Linked DNA regions of Drosophila melanogaster. The protein of the gene in region 1 purifies or fractionates together with the protein of each later gene. This does not show direct contact. Each region holds a gene or a part of one and is shown on either strand. Other genes may lie near its edges. The genes, in order: CG12084 and Dlish.

Evidence for each region.
Region 2: the proteins of CG12084 (region 1) and Dlish purify together in Drosophila melanogaster (affinity purification with western blotting, with the first as the bait; one study listed by BioGRID). This does not show direct contact.

Annotation. Positions count from the first base shown.
Region 1 is NT_037436.4:1,490,576-1,498,566, forward strand, and holds CG12084 (uncharacterized protein), read right to left. Parts: upstream 6,069-7,991; 5' UTR 5,743-6,068; intron 4,545-5,742; exon of another isoform or gene 4,372-4,544; 5' UTR 4,316-4,371; coding exon 4,015-4,315; exon of another isoform or gene 3,924-4,014; intron 3,694-3,923; coding exon 2,754-3,693; intron 2,691-2,753; coding exon 2,519-2,690; intron 2,463-2,518; coding exon 2,301-2,462; intron 2,233-2,300; coding exon 2,071-2,232; intron 1,889-2,070; coding exon 1,409-1,888; intron 1,344-1,408; coding exon 1,179-1,343; 3' UTR 795-1,178; downstream 1-794. Other genes in the region: hfp (half pint), read right to left, coding at 6,638-7,655, 7,718-7,991. UniProt on the Drosophila melanogaster protein: Serves as substrate adapter subunit in an E3 ubiquitin ligase complex CG12084-cul-2-elongin BC. Targets substrates bearing N-terminal glycine degrons for proteasomal degradation.
Region 2 is NT_033778.4:17,721,194-17,725,700, forward strand, and holds Dlish (dachs ligand with SH3s), read left to right. Parts: upstream 1-2,115; 5' UTR 2,116-2,246; coding exon 2,247-2,292; intron 2,293-2,578; coding exon 2,579-2,702; intron 2,703-2,762; coding exon 2,763-3,660; 3' UTR 3,661-3,863; downstream 3,864-4,507. Other genes in the region: CG10934 (uncharacterized protein), read left to right, coding at 1,225-1,809; Snx16 (sorting nexin 16), read right to left, coding at 4,189-4,249, 4,309-4,445, 4,506-4,507. UniProt on the Drosophila melanogaster protein: Required for the apical cell cortex localization, total cellular level and full activity of dachs.

The DNA.
Region 1 (7,991 bases):
CAGATGAGAGACAAATTAGAATTAAACATAAATATAAATGTGTAAACGGTAGCTAATTCAAGCGGCGATTTTAACAAACAAATTTAAAAAAGCTTTAAAATTATAATAGTCAGGGCGCGAATTTTTAAAAATTTTTTTATTTTATCATATTGCTAGGAAATTGGCAAAAACTACCCTAATATGTACCATGTAAATTCGTTTCTTCGATCAGAATTGATTTTGGCCCGAAAATCGTCTTCTAGCACAACACGCACACTTATACGCGTTCTCGTCTCTTGTTTTTACTCACACAAGCAAGCAAATTATATTTTTAGATTTCTTACGCTCTCAGCGGGAGTGAGCGGAAAGAGAGTAATTTTGGCCGTCACCAAAAAAGTGGCTGCATAGTGCCAAACCAATGTATGGCCGTTACGCATCTTGTTATTCTAGGGTCTTTGGTAAGACACAGGCGTGATGTCGCTTACGAATCAAATTATATATATGTATATACGTAATGTAAGGTAACTAATGGTAACGTACACTGTTATAAATATTAATGCCAAGCGCAGAACTTTCAAAACTGTTACTTGCAATATATTTACAGTTGCTTAAGCCTAGCCTAGTGGTCTAGATTATATAGCTAGATTATTTTGAACGATCCGATCCTGAACTTGCAGCTACTTGGGTTCGTGATGCGAAAGCACAGCAAATGTGGGGGGGTTAAGTGAGCATCGTATGATGACCACAATTCAAAGAACAGATTCCATACACTCGTCTATGTGGCTAGAGAAAGAACTATCGATCCACGGGGAATTCAATTCTTAAGGATTTATTTAATCTCCAGCAGCCTTGCTTGCTACTCCAATGTCTTCCTCTTTCCGGTTTTAACAATATTTACACTTCTGAAGGCCTAAAAAGATCGCTGGCTTACAACATGTGATACATCATATACATATATAATCTAGTAATTATGTAATTATCGAATATTTCTGCATCATTAGATTTAGTTGCTTAACTCTCGCATAGTTTAAACTTGCATCTATGTATCTGCTGCTCTCGCTGTAAACATAAAAGTCAAGGAAGAATCTCTTGAACCACATAACACATGCACTTGCTTTAAAACGGGAAACAGAGGAAGCAGAAAAAAAACATTACAACAAACTCGACTCCTAAAGCTACGTGTTATCCTAAATATCCGCTTAGCCGTCGACGACCATGCGTTCCGATCCGGAGTCGCACTGCTCTATGACCAGGCGAGCGATGCGCTTGATCTCGCAGTAGGGACTCTCGTGCTCGATTAGCTCGTTGAGGATCTGGATGCCGTTCTCCTGCTCCACCAGCTTGCAATATTTTTCGGGATAAACCTGTGACGGAATGCAGAAGTTAGTACACAATGCACCAACAATGGGAAAAGGAATTGCTCCCCCACCTGTGTCAGATTGGCCAGGGCCCAAACAGCCCAATGTTGGCACTGGGGCGTCTCGTAGCAGCGCACCAGGCTGAGGATCGGCTCAAAGCTGCGGTAGTTGATGTTCCGCTCGCTCTTGATGTTCCACCGCTGAATGGCGGCCACCATGCGCTCCAGCACGTGCTCCCGGCTGGGCGTCTTGATCGTCCAGGCATCCGCTCCGTCCGAGGCAATGTGCGCCAGCACTCCAGCCGCATTGTAGCTGACCTGGAAGCGCAGGTAGGCATGGTTAGCACTGGCCATCTCTCTCTCCCGCACTCTCGCCACCACACTCGCACTAGCACCACCCACCTCGATGCCATCGCTCAGGGAGTCCAGCAGACGGGCAAACACCTCAATGAACTCCTGGGTCATCAGCTTGGGCCGCAGCCACTTCACCTCGGCCACATTGCCCAGCAGGCCCATCATGTTGCGCAACAGCTCGTCACGATCCGGGAAGGTCTGTTTTGGAAAAGGACAGTTCAGCTTAAGAAGTCTGGATACAGGAAGTTAACCTATTTCTTCATGAAACCAAGGAGTATACATTTGTTCGCTTTCTCTATGCAGCTCTTAAATTAAATATTTTAGTTCCCAATCTTATCTTTGTTGCGCTGCGGATAATGGCAAGTTTTTGGAGAACTTACATGTAAACACTTAAGGAAATACTCCATGCCACGTCCATCGAGGAATCTCTTACAATTAATAGCAGTCTCATCGGTTACGTTCCACATGGTGGACCAAGCCACCTCCATCACATCGTCGAAAACGGAGCGAGTCAGCCGATCCTTTATCAACGTGAACATGGTCTAAAGTCAAGAATATCACCAATAAGTACAATAAGTTCCGGCAAACAGTTGATAGGCAAGACACTTACACTAACTACGCCCAACTCGCCCAGGAAGAGCTTCTGTCGCCCATCCACCTGGCAAGCGAGTGTGTTCAGCAGGTAGATTGCTATGCGCTGGACAAATCCCTCTTGCTCCGTCTTAGAAACGCCGTGCAGCAGGATCTTGATGAGACGCTCGTACTCGAAGAGCTGAAAACCAGACATTTAGCTGTACTTAATATAATATTAGATTAGGCGGTGCTTACCACATCGACTGGCATGTGAAACTGGGTGAGCGTGAGGTAACCATTCCGCAGCATGGTGTCGTCGGTGATGTGCATCTCCATGCCATTGAGCAGCGTGCGAATGATGTGATTGCGCAGTAGTGCTCCAAACTTGGATCGATCCCTGCCCTTGACAATGTAGAACAGCGTGGCACTAATGAAGATGAAATTTAGAATTAAATACTATTTTCACTTAACTTCAAAGCTATAAACCCACCTGCCGGAGATTTGCATGTGCTTGAACTTGAGATGCCGATCCATGGCGGAGAGCACAACATCCAGTGCTGTGTGTATGTCCTTGCAGTTCTCGAAGCGGAAGAGATGGTACAAGTCGTTGAGAACTCTTGTCAGAAGCACTGGTCTGTCGTGGTAATAACGCGCCGCAGTAAGGATTTGCTGCTCGTTGGCATCGCCAGCTACCTCCAAAGCTGGAATATCGTGTCTTTTGCAGGCCCAGTGGGCCGTGTGATAGAGGCCTAGGAACTGCAGCGGTCGCTGGGTGCGGGACGCTAGCCCCGGGATGTCTGTGAGGGCAAAGTGTTGCTCCATTTTGGGGCTCTGCTGCATGCCACTGGTAGTTGTCGACTCCTTGGTGGCCACACCGTTGCCGGCCAAATTCGTGCCAGAGATATCCAAATGTGTGAGATGTCGCAAGTTGTCCATCAGCATCTCCAGCGTCTGATCGGGCAGGTCGTAGGTGCCGTGGCCATTTCCGGAACTGGAGATGGATATGTCCAGTGTGCACAGACGCCTCAGGCAGCAGATCGCATGCAGCTGGTTGGCGATGGGCCACACATTGAACAGGATGAGCGTGTGCAGATTGGGCAGCGAGCCCAATGCCTCAAGGCTGAAGTTGGCCAGCACGCAGGAGGTCAGGTCCAGGTGGCCCAAGTCGTGGAGGTGAGCGAACTGCAGGCGGTGGTGCATCACAACACCGTTGAGCACCAGCCGCCGCAGATGCGGACAAGTCAACTGGAAGTCCACTGGCTCCTTCTCGTTGGGCTCCGCGTACTGCAGCAGATGGGAACTGATGCCCAATTCCAGGGATCGCAGACTGTCGCCGTAGTGGGCCAGAAGGTGGTGGGAACCAACGGATATCATGTCACAGTACCACAAGGACAAAGCGAACAGTTTGTGCCGCATCAGAGTCTCCAAGCCTGCAAAATGTATCAAATAGTATTTCAATATGTTTTAAACTTATTCAAGTCAATGTGGTTCAGCAATAAATATGCAATAGAAGGTTGATTGGATATCTATCAATTCGAAGGTAACACATTTACATAAGTGTAATTTTTCAAATGAACTTGCATCTGATTTTGTATAAACTTTTAGAGGTGCGGTTGCAAATATTTAAATTTAAGTTTGTCTGTTTGAAAGTCTGACAGATTCCAGTATAAATTCCGTTCAATTACTATTCAATGGAGCTCAACAACACCGGATGTGGGCGGAGAACACTACGGATGGCGGGCAGAGCTCACCTATACTGCTTAGGGTGCTGTTGCGAAGATTGACGATCTTGAGCGAAGTGCGGTGTGTGTCCTCGAAGAGGCGGATGACGCTGTCGTCCAGCGGGCGATTGAATCGCTGATAGTTCTCGAGGAAGCCGTCGCAGATCTCGTTGGGCAGCACAATGCCCGGATTGAGGCCGCGCTGGCCATCTGGCCGGTGGCTGCTAATGATGTCCAGATTGTTGCACAGCTTCTGGTAGGCGATCTCCTTGAGGGTCAGCGGCTCCTCGTCCAGCGAGCCGTCCTCCATCAGCCGCACCTTGCAGCTCATCTTGGGGCCGCAGTTCTTGTGCTCCGCCAGTGGGGCCTCAATAATGGCCCTGTTGTCTAAAACGAAACGAGGCGATGGGAGGTATGATTAAACAAAATTTCAATAAGCGTGAAACTAGTTTTTGGGTATGTGGTCATCATTTCATCATTTTGTGAAATATTGAAATTACTGTTCTTTGAAATAAAAAAAGTGTTGAAACAGAATTCAGAAACGATATCGGAGAATATACATGATAATTTATTTCAAGTCATGAAATGACTACTTCACATTATGATTATTATAGAAATGAACTTATATTGCTGATAATAAAATTAAATTAAACACGGGTTTTCTATCACAAAATACAAAACTATTGTAGACCGGCTTTTACTTTTAATCACGAGACATGCACATGTAATGCGTTCGATTTTTCAATTAATTTAAATGAATTTGATTTTGGCCCATTAATCCATCCAGGTGCTCAAACTCAATACTCTGTCGATTATACATGATTTTATAGCCCCTTATTTGAGATTACAAGTCATGATGGAACGGATGAGTGATTCAACCTTTGAATCACATCAATGAATGAATGAAAGTGCCCTTTTCTTTTCAAGATTACAGACATGGATTGCCATTGAAGTGTTTTCCATTGAGTGAATTAAATATTTTGTCACTTTCAAATGAGCCCTTAACATCAATGTTTATAAAATGAGCTTACAATGTATTATTATACTAAGATAAATGGGCAATGACTTGACATTCTAGATTATATACTTTTTGATGTACGATTTCTTTAGTTCTTTTGTAAGCTAGCCAGGAATTAATCAATTTAATTAACGAGTATAGTTTGTGTTTACATGTTGCACTTTTTCGACTAATTATTGTTTGGGTATAGGAAGCGGGCTTGCCCTTGCAGTCGAACCCTTGCAGCTCCTAACTTTTGGAACTTGAGTTGCCATGGATGACTGGCCAATCTTGCCCAGACTTTTCAACGCAGGCACGTGCCATTGTTTTAATCTGTTTTCGGCTCTTGGCTTCCGATAGTCATGTACCCCTGCTGTTACATAACCAAGGGTCATCTAATTGGGAAGAATGCGGTATTAATACGGGGACTATGATCCTGGTTACATCCAGGCAGATGGTTATGTCCATGTCGTGGCGTGTGTGTATGTATATGCACAAGTTCCGCGGATCTCAAAGGTACATACATGCATGTAAAAAACAAATGGCTTGCGTGTGTCTGTGTGGGTGCGTAGTTATTGAAGAAAAAAGCACAAAAACACTAATAAAGCGTCGGCCTGTCTGGCTTATCTGGCCAACAAAACTAAGCGGAGTGACCAAAATAACACGGAACTGCGAGCAGCGACAGTCAGCTGTCCGGATATTTTTACCCGGAGTCTCGGAGTTGCTGGCCGACTGGCCGTGGAGCCCCACGCTTTCTGTACCTTTTATTTTGCTTTAGTGTCGCCCCAAAAAAGCAGCCTCCAAAATCCCTCGCTGCTTTTGCTTCTGTCGTTGCGTTTGTCTTTGCTTTTGCGTTTGCTTTGCCACTGCTGCTCTGTCTTTGCGTTCGTTTTGCCAACGGATTTTCCGAACTTCGAGCGATTTTTCCGCGATTGCGCAGCGTTTTACCGTTACACGCGGCACTCGAGCGCCAGAAAATTCCAATTGTTATTCTCTAATTTTACGATTTGCGTATGGAAATCACTTCATTATTTTGGTTTCTATTTTCTTTCTTCTCGCCAGTGTGACCAGATGCCGAATGCGCTCCAACACCCAATGCTGTCTACCTAACACTACTTCGCACTAAAAAATACCGAAAGTATCCTTTCATATTCGAAAGCTAATCCGAAAATTCTGGAACTCCGAAATCCTGACTTTTGAAAATCTAAAGTTAGTGAATAAATGTTATGCAAAGGCTTGCAGTTAAGATATGCAATTACTTAATGTCATTAGCCCGCGCAAGAAAAACAGACACTTGAATTGGAAACTATAGTTTATTTTGTAAGTTAAGCGCTGAAATAAATCAATTGTAAATGTACACATTGTTAGTCGGCGGCGGCGTGCTTGCCTGGGTTCTAATTTGTAGTTCTCTTGCTCCGATAATGCGAAGAAAACCGACAATTGCTTCCCTCGCTGTAGGGATACTTTTTAAAGACTAAATCACTGCGTTGCAGAATCATCATAATCATCATAATCGTATTGTATAATCCGGATGCCGTGCCGTTGGCTTTCGGACTGGCGTAATAAATAAACTTGCATCGTTTGCGTTTTAGGTGCTACGTAAAAAATGATAGAACAAATGCGGGGAGCCGCATGCAATTCGGATAGCTCCCCCTTCTAACCGGACAGATCTCCCTGATCGAAGATGCCCTGGTCGTAGAGCTCGGCCACCACTCTCCGACCGCCGAAGAACCGGCCGTCGAGTGCCTCCTTGCCCCGCATGGCCTCCGCTCCTGCCGAGAACTCCACGAAGATCTTCACGATGATCTCCGCCTCGTCGTCGTCCTCGTTCTCCGTCTGCTTCTCGTTGAAGATGATCACGCGACTGACGGTGCCGAATTTACTGCACTCCTCCTGGATCTCCTCCTGCAGGGTCTCGTCCACATCCTCGGGTCCGACCATATTTCGCAGGATGATTACACGTGAGTCCACCGGCCGCATCAGTCGCTGCATTACCAACTGCCGCGCGCTCTGGCCCTTGATGGACATGTTCTCCTGCTGCTGCAGCGTCTGCACGTCGCCCTCATCCATCAGCTTCTTCTGCAGCTCCTCCTGCTGCTTCTCGTGCGCCTTCTTGATGTTCTCCGAGAGATTTGCTGCCGTGACAGCGGCATTGTTTGCAGCGGCAGAGAGGGCGGCAGCAGCTGCAGCTCCTTTGCTGGCCTCCGCTCCCGCCAGAGTGGCCACAGTGGGCACTAAGCCCACGCCAACGCCGCCGACCGTCATGGGCAGGGTGGGTGTGGCCAGAAGGGCGGGCGGCGGAAGAGTGGGCACTACCGCCTGTAGAGGTTGCAGGCCAGCAGGAACCCCAAGCAAACTGGGAGCCACCGGAGTTGGTGCCTGGAATATTCCGGGCGGCAGAAGAGCGGGAGCGGCTTGAGCCAAAGCAGGATGCAGAGCAGCCGCGGATGTGGCTGCCGAAACCACTGGCATTGCACCCACCTTAGTGACCACTGCTCCAGCTGCCATGACAGGAGTGTTCTGCGACAAACCAAGAACCGCATTGCTGGCCACCGCGTCCAGGGCTTGGATCTTTGCCGTTGCTGCCGCTGCAGCCACTGCCGCAGCCGTGGGCATCGTGGAGTTCGTTGTGGGACAGGCCAGGGCATTCGGCGGCGTAATAGATCGACCCACTCTGTTAAAAAAGCATATGCATTAGATATTCCGCACATACTTTTCTAAGCGCTACACACTCACCTCAGAAGCTGGCCTCCCAAATCAAAGAGATTCATGCTGGCGATTGCCTCGTCCATGGCCTGTTTGTTGGCGTACTCGATGAAGCCGTAGCCCTTGTGCGTGTGAAGGGAAGTGCCCTGGGCCAGCTTGCAGTAGAGGATCGGGCCAAAGGCCTCGAAGACGCTCTTGATGTCCTCCTCGGAAAGGTCGGGATGGATGGAGGCCACGTAGATGCGGTTGAAGCTCTTGGCCTCCTCCTGCACCTCGTCGATCACCTGCTGCGCCTGTGGCATGT
Region 2 (4,507 bases), on another chromosome or scaffold:
TTGTTGCATCATTCAGGGGTGCGAAACATTCAAGGTCATTTGCAACAAAAATTTATGCTACAATTTATGCAAGGGCGACTGTTGCATGTTAATTTGAATTTACTTCCGGGCATATATTTTATTAAAATATGCGTGACAACCGAAAATAGCTGACCCACAAAGCCAGTGAGCCACTTTTTCCGCCCCGGAGCTGGCATTCTACCCCATTTTCCGCCTCATTCCTCTTAATTTGGCCCGCTGTCTAGTCTCATTTTTTGGCCATCAGAGGTCCGAGCAACAATTACCCGCAGACACAACAGCCATGATGAGTGTGCTGGGCGAGGAGCACCCACTCGATTCGCCCACCCAACCACCTCCTGCCCCGCCCACTGGCCGCCCCTTTTTGTGAATGGCATCCGAGGAGTGGAGGACTGCGCAGAATCCTCTCTATCGATTAAAGCCCAACGCAGACAGCTCTCTCTAATAAAACTTGGGATAGGGCATGGGGATGGGTTTCTGGGATGTGCGATGTGGGCTGTGGGATGGATGATGTGATGCGGATGTGGAATCAACTGCGTAGTAGTCAAAAGTCAAGTTGAAGGGGGTCTTTTGGGGGTGTGGCACCTGCTGCTGATGCTGCCACGCCACTGCTGCTGGTGGGATAATGTTCGAGATGCTTAATGCGCAATTTAGTTTGGGGTATGTGCACATGGGGATACGACGAAGTGTAGGTCAGTTTGGACACTTTCTCTCTTTGGACCCATCCTCTCTTGCTGAGACTCTTTGTTTCCTTGCCCTTTCCATCGAAATTCTCTCGCTGAATTATAATCGAAAATTGCATGCGAAAGTTTTATCCTTGGCACCAAAATAGTGCATTGGCCCCTCTTTTTTCAATGCTGTCCAATAGCGCAAGTGACGCTCGCTAAGAATGACGAGGTCTCAGTGGGGCAGAGGGTTTTAAATGCACTCTGAATTAAATGTATATATTATGTTTATACTACTAAAAGTATTGCTTAAAAAATCCAGATATCTCTAACCTATTATGTTCTATTACATTACAAAATTCACATATATTTGGACTTTTAGTTACATCACTATAATACAATATAAAGTTTTAAATAGAGCTCAGTAGACTTTGGATATACAGCCATTACTATCTAGTAAAGTAACACCTTCCAAACACAATTCATAGCGCCTGGAGCTAACTCAAATCTATCATTCGTTCACATTTTGTATACGACTAAAATGGTGGTTGTACAGGGAATGTACGAAGTCACGGAGCTGGTGGCTGGCAGCGTGGGATGCGTGTGTCTATACATCGCCGGATGCAATGTGCTGCCCATGGAGCATATTCCCGATCTTCCGTCGGCGCTGTTCGTCCTGACCGCCGTGCTTTTTCTCCATCATCTGAGGGTAATGAATTGCGCACCGCTGCAGAAGCTTTGGCTTTTGCTGCTGGAACTGTTGGTCTTCTATATGTGCACCCAGGTCGTGGTGCTTGTGTGGCTCCAGTTGCTCAGCCATATGAATAAACTGCGGGACAATGCAGTTAATACTCGTACCGGCATGTACCTTTTTGAAGCCTATCCAAAAGTCTTTATGTTTTTGCGCCAAGATGTCTACTATTTGGGGCAGCTTATCATGTCCGTGGCGTGCACCTACAAGGCGATAATGGTCACTCATGCCCTGGACTACGCCCTACCAAATCGCCGGACGTACAGATACTATGAGACAGATGAGAACTTAGGCGATGGTCCGCGGCGTCCTACCCGAAAGAGCAACCAGCGATCAACACCCAAGAAGAGCACCGTGCGTGGTCGCAAAAAATAGAAGCTGTCGCAGAAACTGGATCAATCAAATCGCCCAATCTAAACACAGTTTTTCTATGCTTTCGATCATTGAATTAGCCCACAAAACACGCGTAATAAATTATCAAGGTAAACGGCGGCCCGGGTGCATTGCACCCAAATCGAAGGTGCTGCTCAAGAGCAGTTTACGCTTTACTAGAAATTTGCATGCTTGAAAGAGCAGAGCCAACACGTACACACAAAACCAACTTATTTTCAAATTTTGGCGCCTCGCGACAATCGATTAACGGACAACATCATCAAGATCAGCCAATCGTATGAATTCCACCTCTAACACCAGAGAATATTGAGAAGAAGAAGAGCGTTGTGTCGGATCTAAACAATAAAGAAATTAAGCAATTAGCCGAAATTTTGTTGTTTTTCGGTTGAAGGGGGTTTAATTCCGAGTGGGGGGAAGAGATGGCATTTCTTTGCCCCGTGCGCATGAGGCGCGACAAGAAGAAAGGTGTGTTCATAGAAAGCGGAAGAAGCAGCACGGAAACAAAAGACTTCAATCACGAACTTGTTGTAGGAACTTAAAAAAATTGAAATTGTTTAAATCTGTTTATTGGTGCATTTATTTTGTATATCAATGTACAAGAATTCTTTTTGAATTAAATATTTGTATTCAAGTTTTTTTTCTTGAAACTATATTATGATTGAATGCATAAGATATACATTTTATTTTAAATTTAATTAAATACGACATATATTGTACCTAAATAAGCATTTTCAAAATACTCCCTTTTCAGCTACAAATGCCAGCATTGAGAGGGACTTACCAGCTGTGGGTGTATTGGGCATGGGCCGCATAACTGGTTCCTCCAGCATTGAAACACTTGTAAGAGTGGGCATTGAAAAGGAACACGGTCTAAGGTAAGTCGATCCCATCCATTATCAGTTTAAATAGTCTGTACAATATTAATTCTATTTTAGTCCTGATTCCAAGATGGTTGTGCTGCACGACTTTACTCCTTGCGTGGATGATGAACTAGAGGTGAAGCGTGGACAGCTGGTTAATATCTTGTACAGAGAGAACGATTGGGTCTACGTGATTGGTCAGGACTCTAGGCAGGAGGGTTTCATACCCTTCTCTTATTGTGCTCCCTGCAACACGCAACTGGCGGATTTGGCTGTTAAGAAGAAACTGCCAAGGGAACAGTGTCCAGAGCAGCCGATCGAAGAGAATATACCACTTTTGGGCACGGATAACAAGCTGGATGTTCTTTGCGATGAAACCTTGAATCCTGGCTCCGCCAACAGCATAGAGAACACCCTGCTGGTGGAGCCAGAGTGTACTCCTTTCGTGAAGGAACCCTCCGGGCGCTGTATCGTCTTGTACACCTTTATAGCCAGGGACGAGAATGATTTGTCTGTGGAACGGGGTGAATTTGTTACCGTGCTAAATCGCGAGGATCCCGATTGGTTTTGGATAATGCGCAGTGATGGCCAGGAAGGATTTGTGCCAGCCAGCTTTATTTATCCTGCAGACAGTGTACGAGTTTTGCAGCAACAGAAAGCCACTTTAAATGCCATGGAGACCATTTTGCAGCAGGGTCAACAAGGTCAGCAGAGCCAGCAACAGCAGCAGCCTCAATTGGGCTTGGGAACAGATGATCTACGCTACCATGGCACGGAGCTGGTGATGCTGTATGATTACAAAGCGCAAGCTCCAGACGATCTGTACCTTTCTGTGCGGAGAGGAGATTGGATTTACGCAGACTTAACCAATCAGACTGTTGATGGCTGGCTTTGGGCTTATGCTCCGAAAACCCGCAAATATGGATTCATCCCGAAAGCCTATGCCCGACCACCCGCGATGACCAGCCTTTAAGAAATAGATTCAATACCATAATCGTTTTAATTATCACTTCGACTAACACTAAAGCGTAATATTCGTAAGTCTTCCAAACACAGTCGAATTGCATTTCGAAAAGCGTTTCTTTGTGGCTTGGATATTTTTATCTTGAACACTAAATTAATTTTCAACTCATAAATGCCATTTTCATTGAGTAATAAATTGTGCCTTAGATTTATTTTGTATGTGAGTTTGCATAACATATCGTATACACTTAGTCTAGTGATTTCATTCTTAACTGTAAGTGCCTCGTAAACGAATATCAAAAATATCTACTATCGTATTCCATATAGTACCAGCGTGGGCAGCACTTTGCTAGCATCTAGGTCTAGATATGAATACTAAAGCACTGTAGGGGCCAACCCCTCGATATGCACTTGGTTTGTATTATTGTATTGGATTTGCATCCAAGCGGCGCAGTTGCGTAGAGTTATGCTCAGCATAATGTTGTACGCACACGCACGTCCAACTGGATTTTGGTTATCACCTCCGATTGGCGAAGGTCTACTTTATTCCCAAACTGTCGCTAGCTGAGGAGCAGTGCGAGCAATTAAGCTCCATATTTCTGTAGAGAGAGATTGGCTAATGAGATTTTTGCATTTGTAAAAGAAATTGTTATCCTACTTCATAGCTTCTCTCAGCTGCTCCTTCTCGTTCATCTCCTCGCGCAGTTTCTGCTGCAAACTGAGAATGAGATCGTTTTTATTTCGAATCTGCAGCTTCAGATGCTCAATTGTCTCCTCCTGAGCTTCGAAAATTGCCTAGAAGTAAATGAAATCTTATATAGATTTGATAAATACATGAAAAAGAAATCATCCTACAC